Arabidopsis thaliana: one gene and its partner. The protein of the gene in region 1 interacts with the protein of each later gene in a pairwise test. Each region holds a gene or a part of one and is shown in the gene's direction. Other genes may lie near its edges.

The links.
Region 2: the proteins of CW7 (region 1) and AT1G01500 interact in a two-hybrid assay, tested with the Arabidopsis thaliana proteins (one large-scale study listed by BioGRID).

Annotation. Positions count from the first base shown.
Region 1 is NC_003070.9:21,859,441-21,866,749, forward strand, and holds CW7 (CW7), read left to right. Parts: upstream 1-1,841; 5' UTR 1,842-2,148; coding exon 2,149-2,180; intron 2,181-2,395; coding exon 2,396-2,585; intron 2,586-2,683; coding exon 2,684-2,758; intron 2,759-3,134; coding exon 3,135-3,241; intron 3,242-3,575; coding exon 3,576-3,636; intron 3,637-3,951; coding exon 3,952-4,011; coding exon of another isoform or gene 4,012-4,015; intron 4,016-4,090; coding exon 4,091-4,165; intron 4,166-4,705; coding exon 4,706-4,840; intron 4,841-5,181; coding exon 5,182-5,236; intron 5,237-5,808; coding exon 5,809-5,931; coding exon of another isoform or gene 5,932-5,978; exon of another isoform or gene 5,979-6,222; coding exon 6,223-6,500; 3' UTR 6,501-6,549; coding exon of another isoform or gene 6,550-6,576; 3' UTR 6,577-6,770; downstream 6,771-7,309. Other genes in the region: CF9 (Carbohydrate-binding protein), read left to right, coding at 328-1,473.
Region 2 is NC_003070.9:183,016-187,635, forward strand, and holds AT1G01500 (Erythronate-4-phosphate dehydrogenase family protein), read left to right. Parts: upstream 1-2,017; 5' UTR 2,018-2,244; coding exon 2,245-2,994; intron 2,995-3,324; coding exon 3,325-3,558; 3' UTR 3,559-4,120; downstream 4,121-4,620. Other genes in the region: AN (NAD(P)-binding Rossmann-fold superfamily protein), read left to right, coding at 4,220-4,620.

The DNA of each region.
Region 1 (7,309 bases):
ATACGGAAAAATATCCTAGTAATATTTGGTCAGCAAAATTGGTTTTGCCATAACCGGAAAGATTCCAAAACAATCGTCACTTTAAAATCAAACCAACCGAACATCGAAAAGATTCGTCTGTTGTTGTCTTCTTCTTCTTCAACTTGTTCTTTGTTTCTCTTTCGCCTCTTGAGTTCCTCACTTCTTGGTTCTACCTTCATTCATGTCTCTATCCAAATCTATCTGGTAACTCAAAATCATCACTTCTTCTACTCAACAATTTCACAATCCCATCCCCAATTTTACAATCCCTAGATCTCCCTCCCTCTTCAATTCGCTGTAGTTTTCATGGACCTTGTTCGATTGAGAGACATAGGTTCAATTTCACCTCAGAGAAGAAGGAAATGGCTGATTCTATTAGCGGTTTTCGGTGTTTCGGGTTACGGAGTTTACAGGGTTTACAATTCTCAATACATCGCTAAGAAGACGAAGCGTCTTATGAAACTCTTCTCAGGCATTGTTTCATTCGCCGAAATGGTCATCGATTCCGCGGAGACGATAAGTATCGTTTCTCGAGATTTGAAAGAGTTTCTCGAATCAAATTCCCACGAAATCCCTAATAGCTTGAAACAGCTATCGAAAATCACCAAATCAAAAGAGTTCACTGATTCTCTAGCTAGGGTTTCTGAAGCTGTAGCGATTGGTGTTTTCCGTGGGTATAATTCCGATCCAAACGTCGAAAAAGAATCGAATTTGAGTGTAGTTGATAGAGTTTTCTCAGAGGAAGGAGCTGGTTTTGTTTCTGTTGTTGTTGGTAGTTTTGCTAAGAATCTTGTTCTTGGATTTTACTCTGGTGAGATTGAGATTGGTAGTGATGATTCTTTAAAACCTAGATGGATGAATTTGCTTAGTGATGATAAGTGTAGAGAGCTTTTAGCAGATTGTATTGAGAGATTCACTAGCTCAGCTGTATCGGTGTATATCGATAAAACGGTTGGTGTTAATACTTATGATCAGATATTCGCTGGTTTGACGAATCCGAAACATCGAGATAGTGCTCGAGATGTTCTTGTTTCGGTTTGTAATGGAGCTCTTGAGACGTTCATGAGAACTTCTCATGATGTCTTCACATCTTCAGGAGAGAAAACCGATTCCTCCTTGAGGAAGTCGGAGAATCGAGAAAACGGATGGGCAGAGGCGCTTTCGACTACTTTAGCAGTGCCGAGTAATAGGAAGTTCATGTTTGATGTTACGGGAAGAGTGACGCTAGAGACGATGAGATCAATTCTTGAGTTTGTAATCTTGAAAACGTCACAAAGTTTTAAGAGGAGTTTGGATGTGATTCATGAAGAAGTTACAGAGAGAGGACGTCAAGTAGTTGGATACGTTGGTGCCAAATCTTCAGTGATAATCACTGTTTGTCTTGCGGTTTACTTTCACATCTTTAACCGCTTTGTTCGAGGCCCTCCGGTTTGTTTAAGCCAGCAATTCTAGTTAATCGGATCGATCTATTAGCTTGTTAGAGTTGTTAGGGACATTAGATCTTCAGCCTTCCATATTCTTATTGGTAAGTTGGAGCTGAATAGCGTAGTAGAGTCTTAGCAGTGTTATGTACCCACATATTCATTATTGTTTATTTATAGAGGATTCTTGAGATAATCTCTGCATCTATGCTACCATTTCCAGTCAAACCATATAATGTATTCGAATGGATGTTGCCGGCGGAGCGGACTAGGCAACTCTATTTCTTGGGGCGGATTTATCCGCATCAAATTTATCTTTATGTAAGAGCCGTATGTAGTAAAATATTTTTAATTTTTTCGGGCATATTAAGACGGACTATAATTCATGAATGGTAAATAAAAAATAATCTACTCCACAAACGGATTTATCCGCTAACAACCATGAAAGAGAAAAAAGATTTAATTGTCACTGTAGCAAATCGGCAGTTATTGAGGTTTCCCCGCTCCGATTGACGCAACACGCCAAGATTTTGCCAACGCTAAAGCAAATCAGATCGAAGATTTGTGCTCTCTTCTATCTCTCACTCGCATCGAATTCAGCAAAAATTAAAATTGAAGAACGAGTCAAAGATAGAGAGAGAAAAACCCTATTCGATCACGAGATCGTAATCAACGTTTTTAGCAGAATCATCGGAGGGTAGAAAAAATGCTCAACGATGGCGAAGTAACTCCTTCTAGGTAAACAAGTCAGATTCTTTTGTTGTTCTATGTTTGATCTCGTGCTTAGTTCCAGTCACTGCTCAAATTGAAATGAGATAGTTTTCTATTTGATGAATTTTGTTATTCCACCATGAAATTGCTTAATTCGAATACTAAGATTTCGTAGTAATTCAGCATTTATTTGATTCGATCTTGCTTAAATTGATTTTGTTGTCTGCTTCATGTTTTTTCAGACATGAGATTCTGAGTATGGTGAAGAAGCACTCAAAGTCATTAGGAAAGACGTCTCTTGATGAGCAAGATGCGTCTGATGTAGAAATGGACTCTAATTTCTGGCATGGTGTGTTTGATGTGTACTTTGTTCGTTGCATGGAGTCGAGGAGGCGACAAGACGATGATCTTCTGTTTTTTGTCAGGAAATTGGTATGTAAAGCTTGGACCTTTTTCTCTCAGTCGAAAACTTAGAACTTTGTTATCATCCTTCTTGTTAATGTTGTTGAGTGTTTTGTTGCTTTTGCCAGAGCTGTAAGTCATATGGTTTGACTGAAAATGAGGATGCACCAGCTCCTTACTTTGTACGCAGGTGGGCACCTAAGGTAAAAAACTGTACGAAATAATACAGATACCTAGTTAGATCTCACTACATGAGGTTTGGTTTTGACATGTAACATTTCAACTGCGATGTAAAAATTGTATATTAACAAGGTCTTAGATTGCAACTCCCCTGAAGGTGATGGAAATATTAATTTTACTTCTTTTCGGGTGAGGGATTAAAGTAAGCTAGAGTACTACGTGCTTATTGTAAAGGATTGTCTTTTCTGGCCTACATGCTAAAGCTTTTCACGATCCATCATATCTTATTTAGACCATGGGACAGAGACACTTCGAGTAACCATTTATTTGTTGTGTTGCACCTTGTATGTATTGTCTACAAACATATGATAATGCATTTCTTTCTTACTTGTAAAGCAGTTAGATGAGCTGCTTGGTGAAAGTCTGGCTGAAGTTGATTGGAGGAAATCATTTTATTTGAACATGATTGCCCACACATCGTTCACTGTTACTGTTGCGATTTGCAGGTAACCGTTTCAGTCAGATTGTGATTAGCGGCATCCTGTACTAATTTCATGTTGTCTAATTTACAGCAGTTGTCAATTCTTGTTCTGTTATTGCTAATATTACTATCCTTCTTTCCTGTTTGGGGTTCAAACTCATCTTATTGCATCAATCATTACTTCAGTCTAGCTATTTATTAGGTTGGAATCTCAGATACCATCTTCTTAGTTTCAGTGATTAGGCCTTGAGTCATTTTTATGACATGTTCTCTGGTCTATATACTACTTATCATATGACTTTTTGTCTTTCCATTTGACTGCATCATGGTAACTTTGTTTGAACTACTTGTGTTTTTAGTAATGAGGCCCTTAAGACGTACCAAGGAAGTAAAGACACAAAACTATCTCCTATATACAAGGTTAGAGATCCTAAGAGTTTTGGATAATATTACTCTTGACTTTTCAACTCTTCTATAATCTTTTCATATGAAAAAGAAACTGAAGCCAAAGAGTAGTTATATACTCTGCTGTTCAAAATATATCAGTGCAGCTTTGTTCTAATCATCAACCTATTAAGAAAAGAGTAAGGAAACGGAATATGAATTCAGTTTTGTTTTCATAAGGAGAGGACTTTTCACATGAGTCTTGGACCAAGCATATGGATATTTCTTTGGTTTCATTTTCTGTAAGTCAATAGTAATCATGTTCTCTAATCTGACATTCATATTGTGCAGGTTGTAAAAACTGTATATGCATCACCTAGTCGTGTTAATTTTCATCTGGACTCAAAGAAGGCAAGTATAGTCGCTTTTCTCATACCAATGTTTGTCCTTTTGGAATTTGTGTTTGATGTTTCCATTGTTGTTTACCTAGGAAGTGGAAACAACACCTGCCTACCCAGAAATTTGTTTTGCCGTAGATGATTTTGACTCAACCTTTGATGCTGTGGTAACAAATTTTCTTCTCCCTTTTTGTTGTATTGTCCTTCCAACTGTTATATTATGTAGTCATTTCGTTCAAAGAAACTCTAAACATGAATGTCAAAGGAATTATGACATTTTGTTCATAATGAAATCGGCTCTGGAAGAATAGTTTTTAGTTGAGGAAATATGCATGAACTCCCCTTTGTCACTAGGGTGAAGTTACGTGCATTCTTAGTTTCTCCTTAACTGGATAGTAAAATCTTTTGTAGGATACGTTTGTTGGCTTTTGGTACAGGACTGGAGGATCCAGATAATATTATTTCAACTACCTCTTGCGGTGCTTTAACATCCTCTCCTTATTTGAGTTTAGTACCTGCTATTTATTATCTTCTTCAGAGGATTGGCCTGTCTTCTTCTTTAGTTTTGCTTAGGCGTAGAGGAGTTTGGCTTTATGATTCCTATAAATAACTTAAGTCGTATGGTTAGGTTTCATGCATGGAAGTTGTTATACTGACCATAGTTTTTTTCCAACCTTGTTCATTGGCTTTGTCATTGATGTTTTCAGGTTCTGACAGATAAAGATCATTGCTATTGCGTACTACTTAATTCTCACGATGGGGCAGCCTTTCCAAGTGCAACTGTTAAAGATTCGAGTGATTCTAATACGAATGCTGACCCTAGAACTGTGAAAGATCCTAAGGTCTAGTTTTTTCCCACCTATGCTTCACTATTTTCAGCAGTTGCTGCCAATCATCTATCAATTATTCATTTGCCACCTGCTATGAGTTTCAAATAGATTCCTTAATTTGTGGTTAATGCTTGAAAATATCTTGTAACCATGTCATACAGAGGAATATGTCGGTAGTTTCACTGATGCTTGCAACGGTCGATCTTAAACAAATTAACTAAAGTATTGTTTGTGATTTTTGTAAAGATGATTTAACTTCAAGCTCAATGGTTTTCAAAAGGCCTATGGACACATTACATGGTCGTGACTTTCTAATGAGAAAGAAATTGACATGCTGGTGCTTTTGGTTGCAGGTTACTCTGTTTTCTGGGTTTGTCAGCTATCAGATGGTTCGAGAAGCCTATGAAGGTCACTTTACAGTTTCTTTTCTATTTCTTATTCAGTTTTAGAACCTAGTTCAATTCTCCAGCAACTTTTGTAGTTATGGTTTACTTGCCTTAGTCTTCTAGTACTTAGCACTATCATTGTCGATCTCGGTCTTTCATATTTCTCCCAAAATATTTGATGGAAAGTATATATTAAGGGTCCATGATAGTACGGAACTTGGTCTCGAGCTTGACTCCACTATAGCACACAGAATTCATTAGTGGTTATTCATGTCAGGGAAACATGCAGTCTTAATATTCATGCCTTTACTCATTTACTCAAAAAGTAAAGTCGAAATTTTTGGAAGTAGTATGGTTCGTTTAGAGATCAAGGAGGTGTGAATATGAAACGGTACCCAACCTGACAACCTCAAGATGGCTGGACTACAAAATTAACTTTTGTAGACATGGAATTTTGAGATATTAAGAGCTAAAAGACCTAAAGGAACCTATTGCTTGTTTCCTTGTCTATATAGGCTGAGATCGCTTTCGTTGATTTGGGCTAATTAATATTTTCACGCTTTATGTTTTTTCATCTAATAACTTTTATTACAGGGGGGAGGAATCGGTTTGGAAGTCTCCTATCTCTCGGTCATATTACAGGAAAAGCAGACAGACTTTATATGAGAGGCCCAGGAGGACGTGGAGAAGTTGAAGTAGCTGTTTCTGGCGTTGTAGGTACTTTTCATTTCTTATGCTTGAATGGCTCTTTATTTTCCTGTTAGTGTTTTGTTTCCCTATTTTCTCGAGTGTTACAGTGCAGTTAGTAATATTCCATGGAAGATAAAAAAAAAAAAGTAAAAACATAGAGAATGCCCTAGCCAACAATTGTCTTAGGTCGGATTGTCTTAATAGCAGCAATATTTAAGAAGTACAATCGCCAAAATTTAAGAGTAGGAGACTTGTTGAAATGTATATTGAAGACGTAGTATGGTTTAAAGGATGATTGTATAGAATTGCTTTTCTCAGATCAGAGCCAAGTAGTTTTAGGGCCTGTTTCACCTATGTCTTCAAAGAAGAGCATCGATCTCGGATCCATTTTCCGTAAAGCAGCCTCTGTTGCATCTGTCGCAGCTAAACATGCAATAGCAGCTGCTACTGCCTCTTATGATGAAGACGAGATGTTCCCTCTTAAATGCTGCTTAATGTCCATTTCATTACCATGGGACACTATTGCTCATGATCTTTTATTCAAGGTAACAAATGATTTCTCTTTAGCCACACCGGTCGTCAACAATAGACACTAATAGATCTTTTCGATATTGCTGATCGATTCCACTAATCGTCTTTATTTAGGCAACTCCACCAGTCAACATGGAGTAGCACACTCTGGAATGAAGCGTAGGAAACAGAAGTTTGTGTGTTTTGTCTAAATGTTTTTTTTTTTTGTACTTTGATTGAATATTCCTTTTGTGATGTTACTCGACTATGTGGTTTACCACAACCACTGTTATTACCTCAAGGAATAAATGAAAGTAAAGTTGTGAATTTGCAATCATCAAGTCTATATGTTTTGGCTACTCTTCTTGTTTAGTATAATGTGGACTCGCTCAGCCTATACTTTGACAAACAGAATGAATTTCGGTTAGTTAATCAAGGTCCGGTTATTTATATAAAACTTAAGTTCGGTTCGGATCGATAAATCTTTGATTCAGTTTGGTTCGGTTTTTAGGTCGATCCCTATGAGATACAGATGTCTTGCATAGAAAGTATAGAAGATATGGTATTTAAACATGTGAAATAAAACAGCTTTTTGCCATCTTTTGTTGGACTTTACTTGAGAATGTGGAATGCTAAAGAATAAAAAGAAATTAGGGTAGACAAATAAGGAGGAAGCACATGAATCCAACTCTTGGTGGTAGACATTTCTTATTAGATGACAAAACTCTGTTTTAGGTTAAACTAAGGTGTATAGCTTTCTAAGAAAAGGAATTGTGTTAAAATATAGATCGGTTGTTAGACATTTCCTAATTAGATGACAAAACTCTGTATCTGAGGTTAAACTAATGCTTCTATTTTAATAACAAAAAGGAATTATGTTAATATATAGAGAGTC
Region 2 (4,620 bases), about 22 Mb from region 1:
ATAATATAAATGTTGGTTGTTTTTTGTTGGTAAAAACATACTGTAGGAAATAAATAATGTATACAATCATTAAGAAAATATTGAAACACTCAAATTGTCAATATTTCTTATTGCATTTTTATATATAAACTTCCATTCTATGATTGATTTATTTTCTCAAGTTATATGTATACGAAGTACGTTGTCTAATAATTGAGTCCTCGCTCCCACCATCGGTTTGCCAATCCTACACGAATTTGATTCTCTAAATAAAGACAAATAATATTCTCCAAGCCACACACAAAAAAAAAAAAAACATACATTAGTAGTGGGAAACAGCTGCATATTCCACGTGTTTGCCCACGTAGATTAATTATTATTTCTCTTTAATATTTGACGTCCACGAAATATATATACAAGTGGATTGTGTTTTTGGCTAGCGCGTGAGAACACGCAGCAAACTGCGAGTAGAGGAAACGAGACGTGATGAGATTTGTGTAAATCTGGGCCACTTAGAGTGGGATGTGGGACCTATTACTCTGATGTACAAATTCTATGTATTTTGTTATTATAAAAAAAGGCGGCTTAATAGTCAATTCTTACCCTTACGTTGATCGTACCATCCTCATCTTCTGATCTGGACCGTCGATTCTAAGCCTTCAGAGGACTTGCATTGCATGTAGTAATTTGGCGATGAATCAAAGAGTAAACACAATTTGACCTAAGTACTCATTTATTATTTTCTGGTAAACTTTGACAAAAAAAAAAAAAAAAAAAGAGAATTCTATAAAAACTTTTGCTTTATAGTTTGACCAAAATTGAAAATGCTCTATAAAAACATTTGAAGCTGCTACTAATGGAGTTGCTTGTTTTTGACAATTAAAGTCTATTTTTGTTAACTTTCAGTTTATTATCTAAAATATTTTTTTAATCTTATCTTAAAATTAAAGTGATGATGTTGCTACAATGCTACTTAAGAATATATCAGACAGTGTTTTTATATGTGGAAACACGTACAATTGGGGACAATATAGTTATCTTAACTATTTTAATTAGTTCACTATCATAATTGCACACTATATAATCTAAGGCAAAATAAAGCGTGTTATCAGTTAATTAACCTCTAAATAGTAAAAAAGTCCATCGTCAGCGTAAAATATGATTATGAATTAAATGTTAACTAAAAATTACGAAATGTATTAAAAAAGTAAAACCAATCTTACAATTGGAGGATCTAAAATACGATCAATATCATGCTACGTGGTGCAATTAAGTGACATAAAATCAACTAAGTAAACCTCCGACACGGATCTTGAGTTGCGGACATACACATGAATTGCAAAATCTTTATTTCAGCTAAACGTTAATTAAATATTGATGTCAGATTAATCTTATATATGAATGTTACTTTATGATTATATTCGCCTACCTAATTAAGTAATTAGAAAGTGAAATGACAAGCCCCAATCTTTTCGGTGTTAACAAAAAGAGGATGAAGAAGAAAACATTATAGCCGGCCTATAAATATATATCCAAAGTTAGTCCAATTTCTCCGACAAGATCTAAAATCGAACGGTGAGGAATCCTCCAAGGATAAAAGTTCAACAGCTGATAAATTTTCTCTTAAACCATTGAGAAAAAGAACATCTACTAAAGAATGTAATAGCTATGATTAAAATTAATAATTTCCGTACGGTCAATGACCCGAATGAGTAAAATGATGTTGCTTTCTGAATCATTATTTACTAAGATCTAAATGTGGTCTGCTTTTTACAATTATACAAAACTATATATATCCATAACTTTTTTGCAAAGAACCATATGTAGTTGACGAAAAAAAAAAGTGGTCTAACATGATTTGTAGCAATTGAGCTGAGTCCATATGATTTAAGCCCATTTAACGGACTGTGTGGAATTGATGGCCCAGTTATTAAACCTTTTTTGTTTGTGTGGAAAAAGCCAAAAAAAACTGTCACACGTGCGAATCTCACAGGTGAGGAGGGTATTTTATCCTGTCGGTTTCTTCTTCTTTGACCCCTCCGTAATTACCTCGTCTTCAATCAAATTATAATTTTTTGACCTTTTTTTACCTTCGAAAATATCTGAAACCCTCAAAAACCTAAACACAACAAACAAACAAACAAACAAAAAAGTTCCTGTTCGATTCCTCCTCTCATTCATTCTCTGCTTGTTCCTCAAATCCTTCAATTTTCTCATCAAATCCAGATTTGCGAATTTAGGTTTTCTTGAATCTAATCGTTCTCGATGATTTCGAAAGATCACCTTCATCATCTGGATCCTCTGGGTACAACCAAATCGTACCACATGAATACCTCCACCGTATCGCCGCCGTCTCCGGCATCATCAATTTCGTTGTCGCAATCGGCGTGGCTGGAGGTTCGTTTGTTCTACGTCCGTATCGCTCCTTGCGTCGTTGAGAACGTCCCTGACTTCCTCACCCTCCGTCACCCTCGTCGCGAAACCGGTGCTTCTCTTGAGGTTAACGGCGTTCGCGTTCCTTCGTCGCAGACGGCGTCGCTTAAACTCCGCCGTGACAGAGTCGACCGGGAATCGTCGGAGGTGACTTACGTGAGCACTGAGACCGTTCGCGTTACCGGATGCGTTGATTTCGAGGTTTATGATAACGAGGATATGGTCTTGTGTGGGAACCTAGATAGAATCGAAGGTGCTTGGAACAATGGAACTGTGAGTGATCCCAAGACTGGATGGGGCATGGATTGTTACATTGCTATGGGAAACGGACACGTGTCAGGTCCTTCTGCCTCTGTGTTTTTCCAGCCAAAGTTTGGAGTCTCGTCTCCGTCCGTCGAGGTTTATATAGCTGGTTGTTGTGGTGGTGTCCCGGTGATATTGACCAAGACGATTCAGGCGAGTCCGAGGAGGAAGGTGGCTAGGCACGTGACACTCGACGCTATCCCTGAGGATGAGGAAGTTGGCAAAGAGCAAGACATTGGTACCATTGGTGATGAATTGGCCCGTCAAAGCAAAGTACAGGTATGATTCTGATTTCACAATTCTCTGTTTGGTGATTGTCCAAGCCCTTAAGTTACGATTCTTAATAACTTGGGATTGAGATTTGAAAAGGTTGCTTCTTTCGTCTAGTTTTGTGAGTTATGAATGCTGTAGCAGATATTTAGTTATTAAGATCACTCGCAAGTTTCTGGTGAATTTAGCTCCTGCTTGAATGTTTTCTTTGACTCTACAGCTGAATTTGAAAATTGTAGAATTGTTGACTGATCAGAAATTGAGATATGGATATAGGTCAATAGACTCTCTTTGCACTTTTTTTGGTGCTTTATCTTGTTTGTCGTTTCGTTTATGCAGATGATGGAATCAGAAGTTGATGAATACGATGACTCAGATATGAAAATGGCACAGAGATATTACCCTGAAGGAATGTACGTTGATGAGGATGGTCAGCTCTCATGGTTCAATGCAGGAGTCAGAGTCGGAGTTGGGATAGGCCTTGGGATGTGTCTTGGTGTAGGCATTGGAGTTGGATTACTCATGCGTTCGTATCAAGCAACAACTAGTAACCTTCGTAGGAGGTTTCTCTGATCATCACCTACCATAAACTAAAAACCCACTTAGACATTTCGAGATCTACTAAGAATGTCGGTAACGTAGTGGGTTATAAAAGAGATAGAATTTTGGTAGATAGATGTATAGAGCTTTTGGTTTTCACCTGTTTGTGTCCTTTTGAATATATATATATATTCGGCTCTGTTCATATACTTTAGTAGCACAAAAGAGAGTTCCCATCTTGCTCCAGTCATGTTCTTTTGTTCTTTCTTTTCTCAAGTCTGTCTATGTCGTTGCTCTTGTGTAGAAAGAGATTTCGTGTTATTGTTGTTGTTGTCAAACGCTGGAGTTTGTCTTTCGGTTTCTGGTCAGGAAATAATGTGGAATAGGGAATGTACATGTTTCACCTGTATTCAGTATCTGTTTGCAATTAGTAAATTAAATTATTACAACAAGCCAAGTGGAAGACGGCGTCGTTTATCATAAATGTCAAACCGATGACGTCTTATCGGGGGAGCATGAGCATTGGACTAAAAAATTATTGTCAATTTGTTTAAATTGTATTTTGGGCCCTGAAAATTATTATAAATGAAATTTAGCCCCTTAATTTTGTAAGAGTTTACAACATTGAACCCTAAATCATTATGTTCCCAAAATCAAAATTTCACTCCTCGAGAGTAGCGAGAAGAAGGAGGAGATGAGCAAGATCCGTTCGTCTGCGACAATGCCACATCGCGACCAGCCGTCACCGGCGTCGCCTCACGTCGTTACACTCAACTGTATAGAGGATTGTGCGCTCGAGCAAGACTCCCTCGCCGGCGTTGCTGGTGTCGAATACGTCCCGCTCAGCCGCATCGCCGATGGTAAGATCGAGTCCGCCACCGCCGTTCTCCTCCATTCCCTCGCGTATCTTCCACGAGCAGCTCAACGCCGACTCCGTCCTCACCAGCTCATTCTCTGCCTTGGCTCTGCTGATCGCGCTGTCGATTCGACTCTCGCCGCCGACCTAGGTCTCCGACTTGTCCATGTAGATACTTCACGAGCCGAGGAAATCGCGGATACCGTCATGGCGCTCATCCTTGGACTCCTTCGACGGAC